4 linked regions of the Tamandua tetradactyla genome follow. The main gene of each other region encodes a partner of the protein of the gene in region 4 in a complex. Links are inferred from orthologs where the notes say so. Each region holds a gene or a part of one and is shown on either strand. Other genes may lie near its edges.

The links.
Region 1: SNRNP40 (region 4) and TXNL4A share a complex: the UniProt entries of both Homo sapiens proteins name them as parts of the U4/U6-U5 tri-snRNP complex. The link is inferred for Tamandua tetradactyla from reciprocal best matches to the Homo sapiens genes SNRNP40 and TXNL4A.
Region 2: SNRNP40 (region 4) and GPKOW share a complex: the UniProt entries of both Homo sapiens proteins name them as parts of the minor spliceosome. The link is inferred for Tamandua tetradactyla from reciprocal best matches to the Homo sapiens genes SNRNP40 and GPKOW.
Region 3: SNRNP40 (region 4) and PPIL2 share a complex: the UniProt entries of both Homo sapiens proteins name them as parts of the minor spliceosome. The link is inferred for Tamandua tetradactyla from reciprocal best matches to the Homo sapiens genes SNRNP40 and PPIL2.

What each region holds. Positions count from the first base shown.
Region 1 is NC_135344.1:2,383,115-2,390,091, reverse strand, and holds the start of TXNL4A (thioredoxin-like protein 4A), read right to left. Parts: upstream 3,007-6,977; 5' UTR 2,922-3,006; intron 2,445-2,921; 5' UTR 2,418-2,444; coding exon 2,265-2,417; intron 299-2,264; exon of another isoform or gene 230-298; intron 1-229. UniProt on the Homo sapiens protein: Plays a role in pre-mRNA splicing as component of the U5 snRNP and U4/U6-U5 tri-snRNP complexes that are involved in spliceosome assembly, and as component of the precatalytic spliceosome (spliceosome B complex).
Region 2 is NC_135353.1:121,047,265-121,054,128, reverse strand, and holds the start of GPKOW (G-patch domain and KOW motifs-containing protein), read right to left. Parts: upstream 3,001-6,864; 5' UTR 2,938-3,000; intron 1,510-2,937; 5' UTR 1,472-1,509; exon of another isoform or gene 1,405-1,471; intron 1-1,404. UniProt on the Homo sapiens protein: RNA-binding protein involved in pre-mRNA splicing. As a component of the minor spliceosome, involved in the splicing of U12-type introns in pre-mRNAs.
Region 3 is NC_135331.1:26,294,583-26,301,631, forward strand, and holds the start of PPIL2 (RING-type E3 ubiquitin-protein ligase PPIL2), read right to left. Parts: upstream 3,002-7,049; 5' UTR 2,893-3,001; coding exon 2,861-2,892; intron 1,194-2,860; coding exon 1,144-1,193; intron 561-1,143; coding exon 515-560; intron 1-514. Other genes in the region: uncharacterized protein LOC143682994, read right to left, coding at 4,661-4,835. UniProt on the Homo sapiens protein: Has a ubiquitin-protein ligase activity acting as an E3 ubiquitin protein ligase or as an ubiquitin-ubiquitin ligase promoting elongation of ubiquitin chains on substrates.
Region 4 is NC_135328.1:194,558,394-194,566,142, reverse strand, and holds the start of SNRNP40 (U5 small nuclear ribonucleoprotein 40 kDa protein), read right to left. Parts: upstream 3,017-7,749; 5' UTR 2,954-3,016; coding exon 2,810-2,953; intron 597-2,809; coding exon 467-596; intron 1-466. UniProt on the Homo sapiens protein: Required for pre-mRNA splicing as component of the activated spliceosome. Component of the U5 small nuclear ribonucleoprotein (snRNP) complex and the U4/U6-U5 tri-snRNP complex, building blocks of the spliceosome.

The sequences.
Region 1 (6,977 bases), on a different chromosome or scaffold from region 4:
CTCCACCAAATAAACTGTCCCATACTTATTAACAGCAAAATTCCAGACATCTGTAAAATTTTTATACCTCCCACTTCTTCAGACTAACCTCCTTCATGAAGTATTCATCTCAAAGTTAACCCAGCACAAGCTGGGAGTGGGTACTGTGTAAACAGCAAGTCAATATACCACATTCTAAAAGAGACAGCATAATCAAGTCTAGCCTGAAAGATTTGGAACTTTTACTCACTTTAAAACAGCTGTGATATCCACACAGGGCTTGTTAAAGATGAGGAAGTTCCCCCATTATCTGCCATTTCTGCAGAGGGAGATTTTAAATACAGTTATATTATTCTTCATACTAAAATCTTAAATTTCAGAAATTCCTGTTGAGCTTCCCCAAAAAGGACTTACAGAATTCTGACTTCATATTTTGCCCTAATACTAAAAAGAAAAAAAACATTAATAGTCTTCAGATACATTTCAAATAATTATACTGAATCACTGAAAGTTATTAAAAAAGAAATCCAAATTTTGAGACAAAAGAAAATGATCATTTAAAAGACCAAAGGAAATTACTCAAAAGTGAGTCCACTTGAACTGTCCTTATCAAGAAGGTTGCTACCACAGGCACCTGTGGGTACCTGAGGCACCAGGACAACAACTCAGATGAGACTGACCGGAAGGGGTGATTTCCTCACACCAACGCCTCGCACTGGCTCAGACACTAAGACCAGGAGGCCCTGCACCTCCAGCACCTTGGCCGCACCTTGGCCGCACCTGGTGCAGCAGTGAGGGCCTGGGTGTCACCTGGTGCTTACGCCGCCAGCTGCAAGGCAGAAGAGCAGATCCCAAATGATTTCAGTCAACACAGCAAGGCTGAGCTTCTGAGGGATGGCTCCCAGTGCCCTCTGCTCTGCCCCAGCAGTGCTCAAGCGATGTGTACTCGTTGTGTACTCACCCGCTGGTGCCCTCGCTCCTGACCTCTGACCCCAGTTTCTGAGAGTTCTGCTGTTCTCCTGAAATTCTCCGGGAACCTGCTGATGCGCTTCAATATCTCAAAGCACTCCTACCCTAACTCTTACCTTCAGTGAAGTTAAGGTGTGGCCCGTGATCAAGTCATATCAGAATTCCCTGGGGAGCTTCTTTAAAAAGCAGTTTCTTGGTCCCCACCCCAGACCTATAGAGTCAGAATCTCTGAGATGCATTTTAACAAGCACTTCAATGATACTTACGACTTCTAAAACATAAGAACAGTTCCTAAAGTTCACAAAGCAACACCACTACCTCACTCTTTTCTTCTGACAAGACAGGGCAGTAAAAATGAACAAATGGAGGGCCAATAATTTTTCCTTTCCTCGATAAAATATTTATAGCTTGTTACTAGTTCTTCAAAGCAGTCATTTAAACCCAGCCATCATTAATGCATCTCCTATCTGCGTCAAAGACAAGAGCGTATCAGTGATTATATTACTTTTACTCTCCAGTAAAATGAATGACCATCTCAAATGATTTATGAAACGATAATTTTACTATTTATGAACATGTTCATAGCTTTATCTCTTGCCCTACTGCTACAATTTCAAAAACTTAAATAAAAATCAACCTAAAAATTCCAATCAGGAAAATACAGAAAACTAAAGCCCTGGGTATGTACTAGTGCCCTACAATGGCACCTTTGTCTTCATCAAGTTAAGTACTAGACTCCCCAGTACACTAACATTAAAAATCAGGGAAACCAGTCCTAAAAAAGCACAATTCTATTTTTCTCCTAATGTCACCTGAATTTCAATCATTCAAAGATATAAATCAGGTGACTTACAAAGAACATGCTATGATGAAGGGAAAAAACCATTACCAAAACAAAAAGAAGTCTTTACTGTTATTAACATAAGGGTTCTGTTTTATAACTAAAATAAACAAGGTGCCAAAAAAAGAGCTCATCCTTTTTAACTCAGCTATTTAAAGCATCAATGCTCTAGCCAAAGTCTGCAAATTCTTTTTTTCCCCATTGCAATGCAGATGTAAATTTTGAAACACATCTAATCAGTACAAATTATTCACTTATTTGGGAAGGGATCATGAACCTCTAAAATCTGAGGAAATTCCTGTAAACTTCTCCCGGAAAAAGATGAAGCCTTCTGTGCCCTCTCAGGGAGCACACCCTCCCCTCCCGAGGCACGGCTCTGCACGCCGCCCAGTCCTCTCTACCCGCGGGGCGTGTCTGCACATCAGGAGACAAGGGTTAGGAGCCACCCACGCCGGCTGCGGGACCCGGAGCGCACCTTCTCCGCGATGCTGTACAGAACCTCGTCCATCTTCATGCAGGTGGGGTCCCAGTCGTGCCCAAAGCGGATGACGACGACGCGGTCCTCCTCGGACAGGATGGCCTGGTCCACCTGCCAGCCATTATGCAGGTGCGGGAGCATGTACGACATCCTGAGGCTGCGGCACCTCGCGCTCACCTGCGGGCGGTAGGCCGCGTCGCCACCCTGCCGGCTCCGGCCCGGGCCCCAGCCCCCGCCTCCGCCTCCCGGGCCGACTCGCCCACGACGGGGACCCCGGCGCGCGGCCCTGCGCGACCTCCCCTTCCCCACGACCCCCTCGACGCTCCCCTCTCAACCCTCCCTTCCCCCGCACCCCCTCGGCCCTCCCCTCCCTTCCCCACGACCCCCTGGGCCCTCCCCTCCCTTCCCCCGTACCCCTCGGCCCTCCCCTCCCTTCCCCACGACACCCCCGGCCCTCCCCATCCCCTCCCTTCCCCCGCACCCCTCGGCCCTCCCCTCCCTTCCCCACGACCCCCACGACCCCCTCGGCCCTCCCCCCTCCCCTTCCTTCCCCACGACCCCTTCGGCCCTCCCCTCCTGCCCTCCCTTCCCCCGACCCCGCCTCGGCCCTCCTCTCCTCCCACACCACGCGCCCCAGCGCCCGGCCGCGCGCACCTCACACCACACCGGAGCGTCTCGCCAGCCACCCGCGTCTGCTCCGCGCGGCTGTGCCCGGAACCTCTTGCGTGCGCGCGCTGACGTAGCGGGTGCGCGCGCGAGACCCCGCGTGCGTGCGCGCCCCCGCCGACCTCGGCCTGGGGAAGGGGGGCCCCGGGGTTGCTCCGCCCTTTCTTGGGTGCCGCCGGGCCTGGCTTTTGTCAGCCCACGTGCGTTCCGAGAGTTGGGACATTTTTAAAAAAGCATCGAAATAGTCATCTTTAGAAAAAGCAGGGCTTTATCGAGCTAGTTATCATATACATAACTGTGTATATCATATATGCACAAATATTTGACGTCAGGGAGACTGAAATTTTGTTTTTAACATCTTGGTGGACAGGACTGAGTAAAATTTCCGCACAGACAGCTGCCACTATCCTGTGAGTTTGAAATTATTCCGAAATTAAAAGTTTAAAGAAGGGCGGGCCACGGTGGCTCAGCAGCTTGTTTGCGATGCCAGAGGACACGGGTTCGATTCCCAGTGCCTGGCCATGTAAAAAAAAAAAAACTGACAAAAAAAGTTTAAAGAAGATAAGAATACAGCACCGCCAATGAAGCACTTGAAGCTGCCCAAAAAGCCACGGATCTTAGTGGTTTACAGTGGAACCCTGCCTTCCCAAAGCTATTGCAGGGCTAGACCAGGATTTTCAAAAACAAGGATGCAACTTAATCAATTTTATTGTTCTAAAAATTATGGACATTTTTAGGAAGAGCTGAAGTATTTTCTGTATTGTTAATATATACATTTATTTAAGTGTTTCATAATTTTTCTTCTTTATACTTTGTGCATGTCTTATGTACATATATATTTGTAAAGGAGCTCATGCACATAACATAAACTTGCTCAAAACTTTCTTCTGATGTGCTGTGTTACCAAGTGGGGAGACCACTAGCAGGAGAATGAAACCAAGACTTGGTATTCAGTTTCCTTTGGAAGCATATATTCTAAAATGCTATGTTATTTAATGACAATTTGTGAGGCTATAAACTAGAGTAGACATAAATTCCTAAACAAGGAACCTCTCCCCACAACTGTAGATGTATCTTAAGGTGCTCGTGCACATTCCTTGGCACAATAGCTATCCATACTAGAACCACTCCTGCTATCAGTACCTTCAAAGAGGCATATTTAGGATCTTGCAAATCCCAATTTGACTCTATGCCTTCCTAGTTCTTGCCCTATATAACCACTATAATCTGCTGGGTGGCACAGGGCACTACTCTGAATGTCCTGCAGCCACCTAGGACCAGTTTTCTGGACTGTAAATTCCCTAATAAATTGTTACCATTTTGCTGTTTGGAGTGATCTGTTTCATTTTTCATGTTAAGTGCCCATTGAACTTCAGCAGGACCTATTCTGTAGGTTCACAGCAGGACACAGTTTAAATATTAGAATCATTCTTAGTAGAGAATCCATAGAGTGCAATTCACTGACAGATTAAGTTTTTATTACATAATATAGAATCTATTCCACGTACGTATGACTCAAGATCTTTTTTTTCAGAGATCATCTAACCCAACTTCTTTCATTTTATAGTTGAGTCAAGTACAGAGAGGCATTGATAGACTACAAGCATAGTGGTTAACAGTGTGGACTTTGGCTACAGAAAGATGCTGGGTTCCAGGTCAGCTCTGCCTCAGATAAGTAACCTCTCTAACCTTCAGTTTGCTCATCTGTGAAAGGGGAAGAAAAGACAAGGTTATCTGTGTGCGTGGAGATGTGGTGTGTACTGGAGAAATCTCAGCCCTTATTGTTGTCACCAACTCTGGCCTCACTAGTCCTACACAGACACCCAGCAGTGATGCTTTTCAGAAATGAAACAGACCTTACTTGTCACCAGCAGTTGATTAACAGTGCTCTAAGCTAATGCATAAGGCTCAAAGGTCCCCAAATAATTTATTGAAACTATTTTGTTTACATTTTTCTAAATAGCTTTCATGAGCTATAATTCACTGTCTTAGTTTGCCAGTGCTAACAATGACAAATAACACACAGTGGTTTGGCTTAAACAACAAGCATTTATTGTTGGGGCTTTGAAGGCTATTAAGTCCAAAATCAAGATGGCAAGGCCATGCTTTCTTCTGGAGTTTCTTCTGGCTTCTTGTGGGTCAGGTTTCAACTGACTCACTGCATCTGTATTTCCTTTCTTTATAAGGCCGCCTGTCATACAGATTAAGACGAACGCAGATTAGATTTGACCACAACTCAACTAATAATAAAATCTTCAAAAGGTCCTATTTTAAAATGGGTTCACACCCACAGCAACATGGATTGAGATCTGAGCACGTCTTTTGTGGGCAATGTGATTCAATCCCCCACATTCACATACTATAAAATCACCCAATTAAAGTGAAGGGGTTTTTCACCCTGAGAAATCTACAGTAAAGCTACCTGAACTAATAAACAAATTCAGCTAATTGGTGATATACAAGATTAATATACAAAAATCAGTAATGTTTCTATACACAAGCAATGATCTATCTTAGGTGGCACGTAAGGGAAAAAAATTCATTCAAAACACTGACCAGAAGAATCAGATGTCTAGGAAGAAGCCTGACCAGGGGATGCCAAGGACTTGTACACAGAAAACTACAAAAAATTGCTAAAAGAAATAAAAAATGACCTAAATAGATAGAAAAAACATCCCCTGCTCATGGATAGGAAGGTTGAATGTCATCAAGATGTCAATTCTACCCAAACTGAGCTACAGATTCAATGCAATACCAATCAAAAGCCCAACAACCCTACTTTGAAGACTTGAAAAAGCAGGTTATCAAATTTATATGGAAGGGCAAGTGACCTGAAGAGCTAGAGATATCCTAAGAAAGAAGAACAAAGTTGGGGGACTCTTCCTGACTTCAAAGTTTACTATAAAGCCACAGTGGTCAAAATAGTATGGTACTGACACAAAGACAGAAGGTTTGACCAATGAAATAGAATCCAGAGTGCAGAGATAGACCACCAAATTTATGGACACTTGATCTTCGATAAGGTCCCCAAATACACTGAACTGGGACAGAATAGTCTTTTCAATAAATGGGCATGGGAGAATTGGATTTTAATAGCTAAAAAAATGAAAGAGGACCTCTACTGTACACCCTATAAAAAATAATTCAAAATGGATTAAAGAACTAAATGTAAAAGCCAGTACCATAAAACTTCTAAAAGAAAATGCAGGGAAACATCTTCAAGATCCAGTAATAGAAGGTAGCAGCTTAGACTTTATACCTAAAGCACAAGCAGTGAAAGAAAAAATAGACAAATGGGAACTCCTTAAGAGCAAGAGCTTCTGTGCCTCAGAGGACCTTGTTAAAAAGATGAAGAGGCAACCCACACAATGGGAGAAAATTTTTGAAAACCACATATTGGATAAAGGTTTGATATCTTGTGTACATAAAGAAAATTACATAGCTCAACAACAAAAAGAATAAGCAACGCAATTATAAAATGGACAGAGGATATGAATATACACGTTTCTGAAGAACAAATATAGGTTGCTAAAAAGCACATGAAGAGCTGCTCATCTTCATTGGTTTAAGGGAGATGCAAATTAAGATGACAATGAGATATCACCTTACACCTTTAAGAATGGCTGCTATTAAACAAACAGGAAACTACAAAAGTTAGAGAGGATGTGAAGAAATTGAAACACTTATTCACTGCTGGTTGGAATGTATAATGGTACAGCTGCTGTGAAAGTCGGTTTGATGGTTCCTCAGTAAACTAAATGTTGAGTTGCACTATAACCTGCCAATACCAATACTTGGTATATGCCCAGAAGAGTTGAGGGCAGTGACATAAACAGACATTTGCTCACCGATGTACATAGCGGCACTGTTCACAACCGCCAAGAGATGGAAACAATCCAAGTGCCCATCAACAGATGAGTGGATAAAAAAAATGTGATATATACGATGGAATATTATGCAGCACTAAGACGAAATGATGTCCAGAAATATATGACAACATGTTTGAACCTTGAGGACATAATGCTGAGTGAAATAAGGCAGACA
Region 2 (6,864 bases), on a different chromosome or scaffold from region 4:
TGGCAAGAGCTCTAGCCTGCCATGCCAGGTTCGATTCCCAGTGTCTGCCCACATGAAAAAAAAAAAAAAAAAAGCATTGGTGAGGACCTGAAGAAATAGGAAGCCTTATACATTACTGGTGGGATTGTAAGATGGTATGATGACTTTGTTTGACAGTTTCTCAAGATTTTAAACATAGAGTTACTATATGATCCAATTCTACTCCACCGAAAGAAATAACCTACATCCACTTAAAAATTTGTACATGAATGTTCACAGCATTATTTATAACAGCCAAAAAGTGGAAACAACCCAAATATCCATCTACTGATGAATGGATAAATAAAATGTAGTATATCCATATAATGGAATATTAATGACTAATAAAAAGGAAAGAGGTATTAATACATACTACAAAATGGATGGACCTTGGGAATACTATGCTCAGTGAAAGAAGCCAGTTACAAAAGACCACATATTGTAGTAGTCAATTTTTATTAAGTGTTGAGAATAAGCAAATCTATGAGACAGAAAATATATTACTGGTTGCCTATGGCTTGGGGGGGGCTAATTAGAGTTAGAGAACAGGAAGTGATTGCTAGTAGGTATGGGTTTCCTTTTAGGGAAAGGAAAATGTTCTAAATTTACAATTGCAGTGATGATTGTACAACCCTGCGGATATATTAAAAACCTTCAAAGTGTACACTGTAAATGGGTGAATTATATGGCATGTGAATTATAGCTCAATAAAGCTGTTAGAATAGTTTTGAAAAAGTAGGATTTAAAACATTACCATGATTTCATATATGTTAAATCAAATTTCTACAATTTTTTTTGTTTGTATGCTGTATGGCAGGGTCACATTTCATTCTTTTTCCATGTGAGTAGCCCGTTATTTCAGCATCATTTGTTGAACTTTGTTTATTTTAGTTGGTTTGTTTTCTTTGTTTGGGAAGTGCATGGGCCAGGAATCGAACCCCAGTCTCCCCATGGTAAGCCAGAATTCTTCCACTGACGTACCCTCGCATCCCCAATTTCTACAAATTTTTAAAGTCAGAAAGAAGAGATAACGACAGAAAAATATGGACTTTACACAGTTCTCATCCTTAAGATATTAATCTATTACTTTTATATTCAGGCAATTAAGCTTTTCATACAGAGATTAAATGAAGTATAAAAGGTCAAGAAGCTGGTGGTGGAGAGTCACACTTGAACCTAGCCACTCTGCCCTTCTTACCCAATTGGGTTCTTACTCAATTCTCTATATTCAGGGCTTGCCCGGGATTCTCAGTGAGGCCCTGTCCACTGTTCTCCTTCAGCTGCTAGGATCCTCATCTTCCGCCCCCTCCCCAAGTTTGAATAAAGCAGTCTCCAGCACCCTAGGCCTGTCATAGTTCCCCCCAAAATGTTCACTGTTTCTCAGACCTTACTGTCTTTGTCATGCTGGGACCTGTACGCGGATGGCAAAGCGGACTCGGGGCAGGCAACTAACCATGATGTTGATGGTTGCAGAGTCCAGCAGGATAGCAACTAAGGATAGAACATAATAAGAACGCAGTTGAGTACAATTGGATAAACCACGGAAACCCCACCCCACAAATTAACATGCCATTTTCAACCCTCTGAACTCACATCCGGGTCTGCCCACCTAAAGAACTATCTAGGCCCCACCCCTCAAGTAATCATCCTAGGTCTGCACCACAAAAAAACCATAAAGTTTTTAAAACAATTATTTTTAGAGCACTTAATTTATTTTAGAGCACTTTTAAAAATACATATTTTTAAGGGCGGGCAACGGTGGCTCAGTGGCAGAGAGTTCTCCCTTACCATGCTAGAGACCCGGGTTTGATTCCTGGTGCCTGCCCATGTAAAAAACAACAACAAAAAAATATGTATGTATTTATAGAACACCAGTTGCAGGTTTACAGAAAAATCATGCAGAAAGTAGAGTTCCCATACACATCCCTTCACACCCAGTTTTTCCCATTGTTAACATTGCATATTGTAACATTTGTTACAATTGATGAACCAATAACATTATAATTATATTATTAAATAAACTCCATAGTTTATATTAGGGTTCAAAATTTGTGTTGTACAGTTCTACGGGTTGTATTTTTAATGGTGGCAATACATATACAAGCTAAAACTCCCCATGTCAACCACTCGCAAGTATACAAACCAGTGTTATTCATTACATTCACAGTACTGGGATGCCATCACCATTACCAAATTTTCCCACCACTCCAAACAAACACTGTACAGTGTAAGCCTTTAACTCCCCACTCCCCACCCTGCCACTGGCAGCCTACATTCTAATTATGTCATATAATAAGATCATACAATATTTGTTCTTTAGCGTCTGGCTTATTTCACTCAACTGACGTCTTCAAGGCTCATCCACGTTGTAGTATGTATGAGAACTTCATTCCTTTCTAGGGCTGAAAAGTATTCCACTGTGTGTATATCGACCCCACCTCTTAATTCATAATCCCAGACAGGGCTATGTGAATAATACTACAGCCCGTGTCTAAAACGCCCCAAATCCCATCCCCTCAAATAATACCCTTAGATACACCTGGGAGAGTGAAAATCCAGGATTGGGCTCCCAAACATTCCAGGCCCGCCCTCTGAACCTCAAAAATGCCTGACATTTCAAGCACCGTCTGCTCCTTAACTGGCATTCCACGCCCCTCTTCTACTTTATCTCCTCACCGCAATAACCCTCCAGCACCCGCCCCCTCAGAAAACAACAATCGAAGACCCGCTGGCGGAAATAATTATCCAGGCCCGCCCCGCCCACCCCCCTTACAGTTCTGGCATTGCCTACTGGAATTACCCATGCACGGCGCACTTCCTACACTAACAATCTAGGATAACACCGGGTCCCGCCCCTGGGACGCGATGCCAGCCCCGCCCCCTCAACTCACGCCTCTGGGCCCCAACCAGGGGAAGTACCCAACGATCTGGGTCCTGCCGCCTCCAAAGCACCCAGCAGCTCCCCTTCTTCCCCGCCTCCCCAGAGGACCGCGGCAGGGTCACTCACCCTCCTTGGGGCGCAGGCGCAATGTTGCTCCTGCCCTGCGCGCCAGGGCCGCCACGTCCGCCGCAGCTCGGGCCGCTAGGGGGCGCGCGTCGAGCCGCGCCAGGAGCTGCCGGGCGCTGGCGCCCGCGGGCGGGGCAGGGCCGCGGCCTGAGCGGGAGGGGGACAGGTCAGCGCCCACCCTCAGCCTCGGAACACCCCCATGCTTCCAGACGTCCGAAGCCTAGATGCCCCTCGAGGTCCCCGGACACCCCTGACCACTCACTCCCTCGATAGTTCCGGAGGACATCGACTGCCCCTCAACCTCTCCCGCGCCCCCCGACCGTCTCGGGTATGCCCGTGGAACTCCACTCGCCCCTGGAGACAGCCGTTTCGCTGTACTATTCCTGGACACCTTCAACCACTCGCTGCATGCTTCTGGAGGTCCACGACTGCTCCCCAATTCCCTGGGGCTCCAAATGCGCCCCCCTCAATATCTCCGGAGACCCTGATGTCCCCAAGATGTCCCGAGACGCGATGTCGACACCAGGAAACCCGGGATCCCCGAATCTGCTTCCAAATATCCTGGGGTCCTCAGCCACCCTGCACAAATCCCTTGGGAGGCCCCGATTCCCTAGATATTCCCCGGAACTGCAGACTCTCTCTCTGCAGAGGCCCCGAGCTCCTCCTCAAGCCCCCATTCACCCCAAATCCTGACTGCCGGGGTGTGCTCAGGGACACCGGGAAGCCCGACCGCGCCCGTCTCCCCGGAGACTCCGGAGTGAGCCGGGATCTGGGGCGCGGACCCCTAGAGTAGGTGTGGGTAGGGGGTCTCGGGCCCAGCCCTGGTAGCTGGGCCGCTGCTCGCCGCCACTTGGGCGCCAGAACTGCTGCGTTTACAACCTGCAGGAAGAAAGGCCGGGCGAGGGCGCGGGCAGAGAGCGCGCTCCCCTCTTCCTCCCCCTGGTACCTCCTCGGCCTCCCCTAGGGTCCGTGGCGCCTTCCCGGCGCGGCTCCAAGGCCCGGAGGCGGCCGGGTGGACGTAGGGCCACCAGCGACGCGGTTCGAGCTCCGGGGCACGCTCACTTGGCGACCGGCCTGGGCCTGGACGCAGCTGAGATCGGCCGCTCCCGGCCAGGCGCCCAGCCCCGTGCGGTGACCTACCTGGCGGCCGGCGAGGAGGCCTGGCTGTGTGAGCCCGCACGTGCACTCCGCCTCGCTCGGCCTCAGGCGCTGCCTCTGTTTACTGACCACCGGGGCTGGGCTCCTCTTTCCACCGACGGTTTGTTCCTATCCCGCTTATTCCTCTAAGTGATAGGGAACAAGGGTCTGGGAGAAGTAAGGGCCCCGTCTAGGGTCTAACAACTAAAGATGAAGATGCACAACTGGAACCCAAGTTTGCCAGGGAACTCTGCTGCCTTCAGCAGAGCTTTGCACGTAGTCGGCCTTCTGTAGTTTGCGGTGAATCTTTGCCTAAGACGGTCCCTACTGGGGAAACGGAAGGGTATGGTGGGGCTGGGAAGAGGCACGGCCTTGGAGTCTGTGGGGTCGCGGGGAAATTTGGGTCCCTGAGCATACTGGGGGTGGGGGAGTCAAAAAATGGGGAAGGGCAGGTGCTCTGGAGAGTGGAGGGGAGGTGGAGGCCTGGACTAGAGAAGGCTTGGAAGACCCTGGGGTGTTATGTGACACTGGCCATGGGGATTGAAGCCTGGTCTAGGGTTGAGTTTGAACAGGGGTGTCTGAACATATCGACCAGAATGGAGAGCCCTTGGGCAGACTGCTGCTGCAGTGGAGGGAGGAATGAGGTTGCAGTGAGAGAGGGCCTCAGACTGCCACTTTGCAGAAGAAGAAACTGAGGGTCCCAGGGGCTCAGACACTTGCCTGGCTAGGCATCCCCACCGACCACCCTGCAATCAACCAACACAGAGCTGACCTCAAGCTGCTTACCCCTGAGCACTCAGTTGGTCCATGGCTGTTTCACCAAGGCCTTGGACACAGTCTGATGGTATGATCTCATTTATATGAAATAACTAGAATATGCAGATTCATAGAGACAGAAAGTATATCACAGGTTGGGAGCAGGTAGAGAGTTAATGCTTAATGGGTACAGTTTCTGTTTGGGGTCTTGAGAAATTTTGGTATTAGATGATGATGGAAGCACAACTTTGTGAATGTAATTAATACCACTGAATTGTATACTTGAAAGTGGTTAAAATGGGAAATGCAGTTAAAATGTACATAGATTATCACATTTATGTGGTTTTTAAAAATTTTAATTAATTAAAAAAACTACAAGAAACACAAACATCCTTAACATTTGCTCATTCCGTTCTACATATATAATCAGTAATTCACAATATCATCACATGGTTGCATATTCATCATCATGATCATTTCTTGGAACATTTGCATCAATTCAGAAACAGAAATAAAAAGTCAACAGAAAAATAAAACGAAAACAAAAAAAAATTATACATACCATACCCCTTACCGTTCCCTTTCATTGATCACTAGCATTTCAAACTAAATTTATTTTAACATTTGTTTCCCCTATTATTTATGTTTATTCCTTATGTTCTACTCGTCTGTTGACAAGGTAGATAAAAGGATTATCAGACACAAGGTTTTCACAATCACACAGTCACACTGTAAAGCTATATCATCATACAATCATCATCAAGAAACATGGCTACTGGAACACAGCTCTACATTTTCAGCAGTTCCCTCCAGCCTCTCCATTACATCTTGGATAACAAGGTGATATCTACTTAATGTGTAAGAATAACCTCCGGGATAACCCCTCGACTCTGTTTGGAATCTCTCAGCCATCGACACTTTGTCTCATTTCACTCTTTCCCCTTCTGGTCGAGAAGGTTCTCTCAATCCCTTGATGCTGGGTCTCAGCTCATTCTAGAGTTTTTCTCAATCCCTTGATGCTGAGTCTCAGCTCATTCTAAGATTTCTGTCCCATGTTGCCAGGAAGGTTCACACCCCTGGGAGTCATGTCTCACGTAGACAGGGGGAGGGTGGTATGTTGGCTGGAGAGAGAGGCCACATCTGAGCAACAAAAGAGGCTCTCTTGGGGGTGATTCTTAGGCCTAAATTTAAGTAGGCTTGACCTATCCTTTGCGGGGTTAAGTTTCATATGAACAAACCCCAGGACTGGGGGCTCAGCCTATAGCTTTGGTTGTCCACACTACTTGTGAGAATATCAAGAATTCAACTGGTGGAGGTTGAATTTTTCCCCGTTCTCACCATTCCCTGAAGCGGACTTTGCAAATACTTTCCACTCATTGATCAAATCACTCTGGGATTCATCGGGGCATCACTCTGGACAAACCAACAAAATTTCATGTCCTACCCAAAGTTCCATGTACTTATGTTGTTCAACCAACTATCTACATAAGTTATATTAGGAGATGCACTAGTCAAAATATAAATTTTGTACCAAACAAACATTTTTTGCTTTAGTATCACACATAAGTTGAAATTTTAAAATATTGATTACCATCAATTTTCAGCACCCTGCAGTAATGACATTCCTTTGTTCTTCCTCATGCAAAAATATTTTTTAAAGTTGCACATTTAGTCACTATCATTCTACACTCTAGACATTCCTAGATTACACCATCTCAATGTTTATTGTCTATCTTTGTTTGTGATTTCATTTACGCCCCCAGCCCTCCTCCCTCTATCATCCTCACACTCAGCTCCATTCAGTGTTTTAACATAGTTGTAATAGAGTTAGGTAGTACTGTGCTGTCCATTTCTGAGTTTTTATATTCAGTCCTGTTGCACAATCTGTATCCCTTTAGCTCCAATTACCCAATATCTTACCCTATTTCTATCTCCTGATGGTCTCT
Region 3 (7,049 bases), on a different chromosome or scaffold from region 4:
AGGAAGCATTCAATGGCTCTGCAACCGGATGCCTCCCCACCCCCTCTCGTTGATCCAAGTTCCCAGGTGACGGGGAGAAGAGCCTTAGGTATTTTTACTATTACTGCTGTTGTCACTACTTAGAATCTGGACTATAAATAAAGTGTCAAAGGCACAGCCCAGAGTTGGGATTAGACTCAGCAGCATCACTTCCTGGATGTGACACCTAGTGGAGGCACTTCACCCTTCTAAGCTGAGGTTTTTTCCACGGTGAAATAGGGTTAACAGGCTCTTCCAGCCTCAGAGGGTAGGAAAGAAGTTCAAACGACAAAACAAGTAAACATGGGCACACGAGACAGAAAATAATTACTAGCAGCTGTCACTATTGAATACACCTTCTCGCACTAAGGGGAAGATTGAGGTGAGTGAACACAGACAGAGCCCACATCTGGAACTCCAAGGATCAGATTTATTTTCAGATAACTGAGTATTAGAGAATAAAGACAAGGGAAAATTAAATTTTCAAAGATCTTACCTACAGTGGTCAAAAGGTAGACGACGAAAGTTTGTTTGTGGGATATCTATTTAAAATCAAATTAAAAAAAATGTTTCCTATAAACAAATTTCAATTACTCACTCCCACCAACAATTCAATTACATTTTAAGAAAAAGGCCATTTAAATTACCTAGTGAAGTAACTGCTGTGGATTAAAACACTTTTAAAAGCTAAAACCAAAACACATCGTTCCTCAGAGAGGCATGAGCACACACTTGTTTAAATTCCTACAACAGGTTCTATCACAAGCCTAACAAAGGCTCCTGTTCTAGTGCTTTGCTTTCTGAGGCAGCTGTGCCCTCCACTCCCATTAGCAATGTATGACAGTGCCCTCTTTACTGCTGCCTGGATAAATCTGAGTATTACTGTTTTCTTGATTTTTCTTTGATAGAGACAATTATTTTAAACTTATAAAAAAATCACCACTGAGATTAAGTGCTTTGTTGTATGTCTCAGTATGATTTGTGAGCTGCCTGGCTTCTCAATTCATTTGTCTACTACAGTTTCTGCATTCTTGTCCATTTTTACAGTCCCAGAGAAGAGTGAAGATGTCACTCTTTAATAAAGAGCTAGGTGGGGGGAGGTTACAGAAGGACCTCTGGCCTTACCTGGCTTCTTGCCACCATAGAAGTGAGTATATTCAGCACAGGTGATGTACCTGAAGGTGAGAGGGAGAATGTTACCACCACCATCCCCTTTGCATGAAGAGCAGAGTCGCCATCATTCCCTCACTCAGCAGATGCTTATTAAACACTAACTATATGCCAGGCACACAGTGATGAACACAACAGACTGGGGGGTTCACAGACAAGCGAGTAAACAAATGTAAACAGTCCAGCTTTGCCCTGAAGGAAATGAACTGAAGGTAACAGAGCACCTGATGATAAGAAGGAGCTAATTACATGAAGATTTGGGGGAAGAGCTTTCCAGGCAGAGGGCCCACCAGGCATCTCACCAAAGCTAGGGGGTGGGGGGTGCAGGGAAAAGCTAGGTGTAGAAAGGAGATGTCACTGGAGAAGAGTAGCACAGTTGAGTGTGACACAGGTGAAAGCGATGACCACAAATGACCCGGCAGGCCATGGGAAATACTCCAGATCTGTTCTAAGTAGGATGGAAAGTGGTCGGAAGACTTTGAGCAGGGCCCTGCTATGATCTACAAAAATCTTAAAAGAATCACTCTGGCTGCTGTGTATAGGGAGACAAGAAAGAAAGGAAACAGAAAAAAACAATCGGGCAGTGACTACAAAGTTCCAAGAAGGGGTTGGAGCAGTGGACAAGTGAGAAGTGGTCAGTTCCTCCAAGAGTCAGCAATTCTTGCCAAGGGACTGGGGAACAGAGTTGAGCGAGCTAAGGGAAAGAGACATTAAGGCTGACTCCAAGATTTCTGACCTTAGAGTATGACCACTGAGGTAGGAAAAATGGAAAAGGAGCAGTTTCAGGGGCTGGAAATGAGTTCCATTTGGGGACATATTAAATTTGAGATATCTATCAGCCCTCCAAATGGGGACGTTAGGTGGGCAGCTGATTTTGACACGACTGGGATCACCTTAGGATGACCGGGTGAAATCATCCTGGGGGAACAAAAATGGAGAAGAAAAACTGGGCACACCGATCAACAGGACTCTGGGAGAGAGACAGAGGCAGGCCAACAAAAGAGACTGAAAGAGACCACTGAAGGAAAACAAAGAGCACGTGTGTCCTAGGTACCAAGGAAAGGATTCAGAGGCAATGGTAAAGGATGTCAGAGGCTACTGAGAAGTACAACCAAATGAACGGTGAGGTTAAGACCACTGGATTTCGCAAGATGGAAGTCACGGGAGACCCTGACAAGAGCAGTTCTAAGGTGCTCAAGTCCAACTGGGGTGGCTTCAGGAGAAAGTGGAAAACAGCAAAGGAGACACACGTATCTTACATCGTGTTACCAAAAGATTCAAGGAAACACGGTGGCAGCTGGAAGTGTACATGGGGCACAGCAAGTTTGGTTAGTTTTAATTCTGCAGCAAGTGCGTACGCGGGTGGGCGTGAACCAGGAGAAGAGTAGATGCGACAGAGACGAACTTCAGAGGCAAAGCTCTCAAGAGAAAGGGGACGAGGTTCCCGCACACCCCCGCAGCTGACCGCCTCGGAGCGGAGATTCTGCGGAGGCGGCGGCGGCTGGGGCCACGACCGCGCCGGGGTAGACGGGGAGGCCTCCGGGAGGAGGTGACATTCGCGGTGGGCCCTGGGTTCCAACCCAAGCTCGCCCGTGAGAGGGGAGGGGAGCGAGGTGCGGGCCTTGGCGCTGAGGCTGAGAGGGGCGCCCCTCCCAGCTGCGACCCAACTTACATTTTGTCCTTCTGGTGCTGTCGCTTCCCCATGGTGGCGGCAGGCCCGGCTGGAGGAGTGACAAGACGCGGGAGAGCTTGCACCTAGGCCGAGCTTCCGTAGCTGCTTCCGGGACGCGCGGTCCTGCCCCGGAAGTGGGCCCGGGGCATGCCGGGATATAGGTTTTTGGCGCCCTCGGAGCTCGGAACCTGGTACCCGCTATGAGTCCTTCGCTGGGAAGCCTTGTCTTCTCCAGGTCCTCTCTCCCGCCTGCCCGGCCCTGGCTCAGTCCCTTCCCGGTTCGAACCCGCCCTGGGCGTTTTAAAAGGCCCTCCCGGAGCCTCCAGTCCCAGCAGCCTCACCCTATCTCCCCTCCACCTCTGGCGCGTTCAAAGCGACGTCCACACTCGCTCACTTACGGTTCTCCCCACCCGATCGGCCCCTCTCCCTCTGAGACCCAGCGGCGGGAGGCCACCAAGCTCTCACCGGCCCCTCCCTTGTCTCCTGCCGGACCCTTCCCCACGACCCAGACGGCACTTGGAGGCGTCCCTAGCCTCAGCCCCGGGCCTCCGTATACCAGGTTCCCGCTCGTCTAGCCCTGGTTCCTGGCAAGTGTATTCCTTGTCCCCCCACTCCAGACTCCTGATCTTCCCCTGGGTACTCACTGATGTCAAATTTAACATGGCCGGTCAAGGCCCGATCTCCATTCCCCCCTCCCTACCACAGTCTCTGGCTCTCCTCGCTACTACCATCTGCCCCAGTACCCCTGTGGAAGGTAGAACTACGTAGCCCAGAAGAAAATACCTTCATCTGCATCCTATTGCTGTGGGTGTGAATCTATTGTAAATAGAGCTTTTTGAAATTGTCATTTTTAGTTAAGTTGTGACCAGTTGAAGCAGGATAGGTTTTAATGGACCGTATAGAGAGTAGCAGAAAGCCAGAAGAGAAAGGAGAGGACATGGCCATGTGACGGAAAAGCCAAGGAATCCCAAGAACTGCCTGCCCCCCCATCCCATCCCAATGCTACCAACCCTGGAGAGAAGATTTTGATGAGTGCTGAATGGAAATTAACCCCAAACTGATTGTCCTTGCCATTTTTTGTTTCAGGGCTGCTTTTTGCCCTCTAGATTTCAACCCAAAGGACACTACCCTATCCCAGGTAGCTCCCCAGACATGTCCATCTCAGCTCCCACAGGACTTAGCACAATTTGGCATCTCGGAGGAATCTGATCTGTGTACTGGTTTACCACCCCTCCACTATGCCCATGCCCTCAGAAGCATGGATGTAAATAAGCTTCTTAAGAGCAGGGGACCTAAACTGCTTGGTTTATTATCTCCACTCCCAAGCAAAGTGTGAAACACACACAAGGGCTCAATTAAGCATTTAGAGAGGACTCACATCTCACAGGCAAGTTGGGTTCTAAGGTCAGCCTGTGAGGTGATGAGTCCCACAGCTTTGAAACTGCTTAGGAAGGTGCCAAGCTGGAAAGTGACGCACCAGATCTCATTTTCCCACATCCCAGTTTCTAAACCTGTGCACTGGCAAGGCTTGTACAAGGGCCACTTGTAGGAAAACCCCTCATTTCCTTTTCAGAGGTACAAGGCTGAATCCCCATGCAAGGGAACTCAGCAGTCGTACTGGCCACCAACTGTGCAGGCTCGGGTCGAGGGGCCTCAAGCTCACAGTAGCCTGTCCACCTCTCCAGGCTGGAGGAGCACATGGGATTGAACAACCCCTGGCAATCCCGGTTCCCCAGCCCCCAGCACGAGCTAGGCACCTCCACGGGAACTTTATTCACTCCTGTCTGCAGGGAAGTGTGGTTAGGGGCTCCTGTCATGGGACACAAACTCCGCACTGCCAAAGTCGTTCTCGGAGTCTTCGCTGGGCCTCGGCACAGGCTGGAACTTGAGCAGGACAGGCGGGGTGAAGATGGAGGCCTTCGGAGGTGGGGGCGGAGCCTCCTTGGTGTTGGGGGAACCACTACAAGCAGGAGTCCTGCACAGGAGACATCCAAGACACATCCGTGAGGTGGGCCACGAGGCCACCAAAGCCCCAGCCTGTGTGGGATGCTTCACCACTCTCGGACTCGTTGCTACTTCCAGAAATCTTTCCTGTGGATGTGGGTGGAAGGCTGTTCAGTGCAGCAATGGCTACGGTTATAAACACCAGGAAAACAGATTGTTGAATTGATCCGCTCCATGCAGCTTTCAAGGGAATGGGCTAGGTCCACTACCCAATAAGTAAAGGTGTTCAAGATGGCACACTAATAGAAAAAAGCAGGCTGCTGTAAAGGGTATGAACAACGATCCTACTTTGTTCCTTTGATCTCATACAGTAGATGAAGTTCATTTAAACGACCCAAACGTGGAGCCCAAGATGGGAACAAGGGCTTGTAATTCTGTATAGCTTAACGTAATGTCCAGATATATCCCAGAGCATCTTGGGCAGATAATTAAAAAGTCTTGGCAAAGTCCTTTGAGGACAGGAGAAAAAATATGGAACTATTAAACTTTCCCACCTAGAAACCCCAGATGCGCTCTTAAACACTAGGGACTCCCAAATAGGCCAAGTCCCTGATCTTGAGGCTTGCTCTTATGAAGCTCATTTCTGCAGCAGAGAAGCTAAGCCTACCTATAGCTATGCCTAAGAGTTACTTCTAGGAAATCTCTTTGGTTACTCAATGTGACCTGTCTTTCTAAGCGCAACTCTGCAAGGAAAATCATTACCCTACTCCCTATGTGGGATGTGACATCCAGGGGTGAAAGTCTCCCAGCTATGTGGAGATGACTCCCAGGGATGAGCCTGGCTCTGGCACTTGGGGTCAACAATGCCATCCTTTCCAAAAGGGAGAAAAGAAATGTAACAAAATAAGGTATCAGTGGCTTAGAGACTTCAAATGGAGTCGAGAGGCTTTTCTGGAGGCTACTCTAATGCAAGCATCAGCTAGATAGTGCAATTGCCACAGTCTGCCAAACCCCAACTAACATCATTCCTTTTAACCCTAAAGAACACCCGGGGCTCTATCTGAGATCCTACTAAAGTTGCACATGCTATATTTACTCTCCAGAAACCTACAATCTCCAGATGGTTCCTAGGCCAGATAAGTGCTGAAACCCTGAGGAGCTGGTTTGTCCATGAACATCAACCAGTTCTGTCCCCCTATCCCATATTATCACCAGCCCTTTCTGCTTGAAAAAAGAATGGGCATAACTCAAATATCCGTAAAGATTGGGAGAAGGATCAAAGGACAAGGAGGAACTAAACAGAGATGTTAGGATTTAACAAATGAATATAACTATTGAATGATTATATTTTGATATTTTAGTCTCCAGTATCTTGGAGCAGCTGGAAGGAAACACTGAAATTGTGGAATTGTAACCCATACCAAACTGAAATCTGTTCTATAACTACTGTTACAATGTATTTTGAAATTGATTGCTTTTTTCTGTATATATATTTCACAATTAAAGAGTTGTCCTACTTTGGTTAAAAGTTTTAATAGGGGCGGGCCACAGTGGCTCAGCAGGTAAGAGTGCTTGCCTGCCATGCCCAAGGACCCGGGTTCAATTCCCGGTGCCTGCCCATGTTAAAAAAAAAAAAAAATTTAGCAGCGTAGTTAGGTGTGTATGTATGCATGGGTGAACATTTTGGTACACGCAAAGCTTTAGCAGTGTTTACCAATGAGGGGGGACTCTTGCATTTTACATTATTTATTGCTGTCTTGTGAACTTGTTTCCATGGAATATATCCTCCTGCTTTTGTCAATATTTTTGAACAAATTAAAAACAAGCCATTTTTTGGCAATGACACAGCTGACTCAGGGAATAATAGGTACCAAGAGCCAAGAAATCTCCCCATCATTGAAAATTTTCAACAAGAATAATTAAGTAAGTAATGTTCCATCCATGTGACACAATGTTTTACATCATCGTCGTTGAATTTAAAGGTATTTTTATGGCATGGGAAGAAACTCACACTCCAGAGGCAACTAAAAAAACTGGAAACTGTGTAATGGGACAGTCCCAACTATGTAAAAACAACTACATGTCTGTATTTACATGTGTTCCCATGGGAAATACATGTTAACAGTGGTTATTTCTGGGGATGGGAATAAGAGTGACTTCTGTAGCTTCTTTAAGCTTTGGGGTAGTTTTCAAATTATCTAAAATAAATACTTAGTGTCTTATGAATCTAACAACAAAAAGGCAG
Region 4 (7,749 bases):
ATGGGTATTCCTGACTGGTAGTTAAGAATCTGGCAATAGATCTTAATAATATCTAAGGCAGTTGCTATTCTAGAATCCCCTTTCCTTCCTATTTGCTAGGACTGTGAGTATGGATCCCCAGGAGGGCCTCACAACTTTGGGAAAAGAACTTTTCTCTGTCCTCATTACAAAAAGTTGGAGATCTCGTCTTGCTAAATCAGCTCAACACTTGCCTATATGAGGAAGGTATTCCCAAACCAGAACTTACTTTCCAATTAGTAATATAATCTCTTCTGTATTTACCACACATACCCCAAGTTCTATACCCAAGATCATTTAGAATTCTCACAACCTCACTTTAGTTTGTTAGCAATGTAGTTTGTCATGTTTCCTCATTTTCAGAGATAATCAATCTACACTGATCACAGATAAAAAATAATCACTACATGGTAGAGTGCAATTACATCAGATTCAAAAACTGTCTTACATATCAGTCGATCAAATCCTGCAGATGCTAAAGTGGATCCATTGGGGTGAAACTTGCAACAATACACTTCCCCTTCATGTCCGGAGAGCAGCATGATTGGGGCTTGAAGAGAGGAACACCTTGGAGGCCCCTAAACAAAAGACAGAAACACAGAGTACTCACTGTATATAAGCAAAGGAGGCTGAAAAATTTGAGGGTGGTGGCGGGGAGTAGGAAGAGAGAGAGAGGGAGAAGAGAAAACGATGGATGGAATGGATTTCAGCTCTTTTCACATCATGCATGCCTCTTTTTTTTTTTTTTTGCTGCAAAAAACTTTTTTATACTTGGTTCATGGTTTGTCATGTCTCAATACGATACTCTTCTGTTGAACATTCCAATGATCACCTGCTACATTAATTCTTTCTCTCCCTCCCTCTGCTGCTGTCCCATAGCCAACATTTCTATTATTCAAACATTAAACTTATTTCTGTTGCAGGATCTTTGCATTTGTAGTTTCCCCTGACTCTTCCCCACCTGTATTCCAATCACCTACTGTACTTCATACAGTACATACCACTTTATATATTAATATAAGGTGATTCCTTATATATATATTCCATACACACACACACACACACACACACACACACACACACACACACATCCATATTCCTTAATCACCATCTGAAATTACCTTTCTCATATATTTGTTTATATATTTCGTCTGCTTCTCACACTAGAACAGTAGCTCCATGACTGCAGGGACTTTGCCTGTGTCATTCAACAATCTTTTCCCAATGTCTGGTGCATTTAATGAGTGAACGACAGAACTGAGCTTAACAACAACCCTGCAGGGTAGGGACTCCTGCAGAAAGTAGGATTTGATTATGGCCCTGGACACAAAGCCTAGGCTTGAGCAATTCACTTTCTAAACCTGGGCTGATGCTCTAATTTGTTGGTAGGAAGAACAGGCACACTAACAATAATCTCCACATCTCTTCAGTGGTTTCCAGCTTATTTATTCATTAAAAAAAATATGTGCCCAGGAACTGCAAAAACATCTGTGAATAAAATCAATAGAGTTTACATTCTGGTGGAATGGGAAAGAGAAAAGTTTAAAATATATATATATTACATACAATGGTATGTACAATAGGGAAAAACAGGAGGAATGTGGGATAGAGAGTATGGGATATTGCAATTTAAAATACTGTGGTCGGGAAAGAACTCACGGAAAAAGTGATATTTACACAAAACTGAAGAGCTGAGAGTGTAAACCATGCAAGCATTTAGAAGAACATGCTGACAAAGGGATGAGCAAATGCAAAGGCACTGAGGCAGGAGCATAGAGACCAGAGCAAGGAAAGAAGATTGATGTATCAGAGAGGTAGAGGGAAAAGTGGGCAAAAGATTGTGAAGTTTTTGGTTTTTACTCTGAGTGAAATGGAAAGCTGGACTGAGAACAGATTGTAGAAAGCAGGAGCTGAAACAGTCAAGACTGATTAGGACCATACTGCAAAATCTCAGATGAGACAAATAATAGCTTAGACCAAGAGGAAGCAATAGAGATGATAGAAATAGCAATTCTGGCAGGATTCGCTGATGGGTTGGTTGAGGGTTTGAAAAAAAAAAAAAAGAGAGTACATATATTCTTTCATCTGATTCTCACAGCAGCAGAGGAGAAGTGGCCACTACTTCTTCACGTTACAAGAGCAGTTAAGAGCATGGATTGTGGAGTCAGACTGCCTGGGTTCAAGATCTATTTCCATCACTTTATTTGATAAGAGTTTGTTGTTCCATTTGCAAAATGGGATAATAGTTCCTAACTCCTAGGCTGTTACCAAGATGAATGGATATCACATACACAAGGCACTCAGCACAAGGGCTCCATGAATACTAACTGTACTATCCAGTTCATAATATTAGTACAGAGAAATAAAGGGAAGCTGAAAGAGGGAAACCAACTTGCCCGGTCCCTAAGGGAGCCAATAACATTCATTTCATCGCATTCTCCCTTCACTCACTCACGCATTTATTCACTCTACAAATTTCTACCAAATGTTTATTCTATCCCGGATCCCTGGAAAACTTTGGAAGCCTAAGCCGCGGCCCTGAGGCCAGCTATGAGCCTATGGCTCTTCATTCCAATTCTACTGCCACCTCCAGGGCGGTCGAGATGCTGAAAAAGGGCATCAAACGCGGGAACACGTATCGAGCATCTGTAGGGTATAGGGCGCTTTTAAAGAGTTTAACTCCAGGTCAATATTCTCGTTCCTCTCCCGCAATGCGGCATCACTCGGTGTGGCGCTCTGAGGAGAGAGCAAGAGAAGCCGAGCAGCGAAGGCCACCTGTTCCTTTTCTTACCGCTTGCAGCAAAGCTCCTGGCGTCGTCTGCTGCTGCCCGGTTCCGGGGCCCGACCCCGCCGCTCCCAAAAGCAACTCATGCCGCTGCCGCTTGACTGGGACAAGTGGTAACTCAGGGCCCTTGCGCTTCTGCTGTTCTATCATGGCGGCAGCCGCTCCTCTCAGTGCCAGTAGGGACCGAGGCGGCACGCTTCCACACAGCGCGATTGGCTCGAACTTAGCCTTTCCTTTAGAACTTCCGGCTTGGAGAACCCAATCATCTCCCAATAGGCTGCGTCGCTTTCGGGATAGTCTCTTGTTATTGGGCAGCTCTTCCTAACATCACGAATGCCCGACTTCAGGGTTGGCGGATGAACCTGGAGTCCCGCCTACGCGCGCTGTGTCTTGTGGGTATAAACGCGCCGACTGGGTTCGGCTTTTCGCGCAATGGCGTGGCTGGCTGTCTTCTACTTGACGCCGAGTAAGTATAAGGAAGCTAGGGGGTGGCTACCCGAGTCTGGAGGCAGCGTTTTGGTTGTGGGGTTTGAGCATGGCCCTTCTCAGTTGAGGGTCCTGATTTCTATCCCTGGTAAGTAGTAGCATGGGCTCTCCTTCCTGGCGGGAGCCGAGGTTTGGGCTGTCTGGCGGCAGGACCCAGACCCTGTAGCTGCCGGGTGGGGTGTTGGAGGGACCTCGACGACTGACTTGGATAATCGCCCACTTGTGTCCAGTCATGTGTGGGGCGCTCCCAGGAAGATAAGGCCTGTCTCCTAGACTCCCTGTCTGAGGAGGTGAGGCTTGTTTCTGCAACTGACTGTACAGTCTTTCATTAGAGTCTCCCCTATGCCGCTGAGAGAGACAGATGAAGAAAATATCCGCCTTCTGCTTCTCGAGAGCGCAGTTATATTGAGAAGCTTGAGACTCACATCTGTGAACTAGGTCCTCTTCTCAATCATTCAACTAATATTTATTGTGCGTTTGGGAGACGTTGTGAATCAAATAGTCCCTGACGTCAGGGAGATTGAGTCTGGTGGAGAAAACAGATGTTAAACAATCTAACATCTCTTTAGTTAATGTAAAATAAGTGCTACCTCGGACAGCTATCTGACGCTTTGAGTGCTTAAATATGCAGGAAGCCTTTTCTGAGAAAGAGATGCCTGAGCTGAATTCCAAATAATTAGGTGAAGAGAGGAAGCCACAGCATTACATGGGTGACTGACAAAAGGCACAAAGAGGCCAGTGTGACTGCTTCAAAGATAACGAGGGGAGAGTGGTACAAGATGAAATTGGAGGCGGTTAGAAGGTTAGGCCCTGCAGAGATCTGTAGCTTTTATCTTAAGATGAGATGGGAATCACTGAGGGTTGGTTTTTTGGGTGGGTGGGGGGGGCTGTATGTGTGGAAGGGGCGGTGGCTTGACCCCTTTGTCTCAGTGGTGTGAACAGATTGAAGGTGAGCCGTAGTGAATTCAGATAGACGACTTAGGTTCTGCAGTGGTCCTGGTGAGAGATAATTGGCAATGAGGACTGACATATCTTGGTGGACCTGTGGAGAATTGAACAGATTCTAGAGATATATAGGAGGTAAAATGGTTAGGACTGGTGATGGGTTGGATTCCTGAAACTTAAGAGAGAGGAAGCAAAGATAAGCCCTAGGTTTCTCATGCAGCTGAATACGTAGCAGTACCATTCAGTGAGGCATTAGAATATCTTGTAGTGTTCAATGGAACGCTAGAAAATGACTAGAAACTAGTTTGTTAGTTTTGTTCCTTGGGTTTTTTATGGAGGGATTCATTTGTGACATCTAGGAGGCAGTTGAACTTTGGAGCGCAGAAGCCATGCTTGTGTTGAACATAGTAGATTTGGGAGTAATCTAGGTGATAATTAAGTAGTATGTGTGGGTAAGATCACATGGGTCAGAGCCTTGGGAAGTTCCAACATTTAGTGGCCAAGAACAGGAGGATGAACCTACAAGAGAACGAGAGGAATATTCTTTTAGAAGTAAGGGAATGATCTGTGTCAGAATTTAAATAGCATGAGGATCAAAAAAAGTCTGTTGTCTTTATTATGAAGTTCTTGGTAACCTTGGCAAGAGTTATTTTGTGATGGAAGCCAGATATGAGACAAGGATCCAGGCAATCAATCTAGACATTATTTTAGAGAGGATGTGGTAGCTAAAGGGGATGAGGAGTTACCAAGGATCCAATTGAGAGGACAGAGTTGAATATTCAAGAGAGAAATTGGGTCACCAATAGCGTAAAATTTCTGAGAAGGTGGGAGGGGATGGGATCCAAAGTATAGGTGGAGAAAGCAGCCTTAGGAAGATGGATTCATTATCCATTTAACAGAAGGGAAGGAGGAAATGAAGGTATAGATAGAGATTGTATGTTTGGTACTGGTAAGATGAATTGTTTTCTCATGGCTTTTATTTTCTTTGTAAAGTGAGAGGTGGAATTTTATGCTTAGAGTGAGAGTAGGTTAGAGGTTTGAGTAGATTGAAGAAGATTTGAAAGTCATTGTAGAGTGTGGGAGAATGTGTTTACTAGAGAAATGTAGGATTACCAGGCAGAGTTAAGGACCCATTGGAGATTGGAGATTATACTTTTTTTTCCCCCAGCAACACTAGGCTGTTTAGTACAAGTTTGGCAAATATTGTGGATTTGGCTGGCTCAAAACACGTTCCTGCTTCTAGTGTGCCTTCTCTTACGGAAGAGGCTAGAAAGCGAAAAACTATTCCAATTCTTTCCTAAGAATTGAATTTGGAACTGGATTAATTGTGGAGAGAAGCTGAATGTGAGGCATCAGGTTTTTTTTTTTTAATTAAAAAAAAATTATAAGAAAGAAACTCAAACCTTCTTAACATATGCTCATTCCATTCTACATATTTAATCAGTAATTCACAATATCATCACATAGTTGTATATTCATCATCATGATCATTTCTTAGAACATTTGCATCAGTTCAGAAAAAGAAATAAAAAGACAACAAAAAAAGAAAATGAAAACAAAAAGAAATTATGCATACCATACCCCATACCCCTCCCTTTCATTGATCACTAGTATTTCAAACTGAATTTATTTTAACATTTGTTCCCCCTATTTATTTTTATTCCATATGTTCTACTTGTCTGTCGACAAGGTAGATAAAAGGAGCATCAGACACAAGGTTTTCACGATCACAGTCACATTGGGAAAGCTATATCATTATACAATCATCATCAAGAAACATGGCTACTGGAACACAGCTCTACATTTTCAGGCCATTCCCTCCAGCCTCTCCACTACATCTTGAATAACAAGGTGATATCTACTTAATGCATAAGAATAACCTCCAGGATAACCCCTCCACTGTGTTTGGAATCTCTCAGCCATTGACACTTTGTCTCATTTCACTCTTCCCCTTTTGGTCCAGAGATTTTCTCAATCCCTTAATGCTGGGTCTCAGCTCATTCTAGGTTTTCTGACCCATGTTGCCAGGAAGGTCCACACCCCTGGGAGTCATGTCCCACGTAGACAGGGGGAGGGTGGTGAGTTTGCTTGTTGTGTTGGCTGGAGAGAGGCCACATTTGAACAACAAAAGAGGTTCTCTTGGGGGTGACTCAGGCCTAATTTTAAGTAGGCTTGACCTATCCTTTGTGGGGTTAAGTTTCATATGAACAAGCCCCAAGACTGGGGGCTCAGCCTATAGCTTTGGTTGTTCACACTGCTTATGAGAATATCAAGAATTCAATTGGGGGAGGTTGAATTTTCTCCCGTTCTCACCATTCCCGGAAGGGGACTTTGCAAATACTTTTCCATTCACTGATCAAATCACTCTGGGATTCATTGGGGCATCACTCTGGACAAACCAGCAAAATCTCATGTCCTACCCAAGGTTTCACGTACTTATGTTCAACCAACTATCTACATATGTTGTATTAGGAAATGCACTAGTCAAAATATAAATTTTGTACCAAATAAACATTTTTTGCTTTAGTCTCACACATAAGTTGAAATTTAAAAATATTAATTACCATCTGTTTTCAGCACCCTGCAGTAATGACATTCCTTTGTTCTTCCTCATGCAAAAACATTTTTAAAATTTGTACATTTAGTCATTATCATTATACACTCTAGGCGTTCCTAGATTATACCATCTCAATCTTTATCATCTGTCTTTCTTTGTGATTTCGTTTAGAGGCATCAGGTTTTGCTGAAAAATATAGCAGAGGCAATGAGTTTTCCAGTCAACAGCCACCTGCTTTGGTGACTTTCTGCAGTGATGGCCATACCTTTTTGATCATGGCAAACATGATATTATTTTGTGGCTTAGGAGTTGGGAAGTTCTGCCAGGGCCTGCTCCTATAGCCCTTCCATTAATTTTGTAAGTCATGTAATACCTAGATATAAATTCCTTTTTGCCTAACCTAGCTGGAGTGGGTTCTTTTGTCTGAAACTATACCTTTCCAGACTCCAGTTCTTTCTACTCTACATCCTTTAGATATTAGAATGCTTTCCTCCTTTCTCCACCTCTGCTGGGCACATAGTAAGGCTCTATTTATTCATTCGAGAAAACTTTGAGTACCTACTGTATTTGGCACTGGGAATACAAAATCATATAAGAAATGATCCTCGATTTCATGTTTGAATAAATTAATCCAGACCCTCCTCATCTTAGCCTCCCTCATGAATGATGTCCTGCTCGTGACTCTTCAGTGATTCCTCTGATCTTGAAGTTAGTCTTAGAGCTGTCTTTACAAAATTTAGACATGGTCTGATATTTTTTTCTTTGTTACTACTTTTTAAAAAAAATTGTGCTGCTATATATATTGATCACTTCAACCATTTTTAAGTCTGTGATACACTGCCATAACTACAAATCACGGTGTTGTGTAACCATCACCGCTCTTTATTTCCAAAACTTTTTCATCACCCCAATCAAACCCTTATATTCCTTTAAGCAATAAATCTCCATTCTTCCCTAC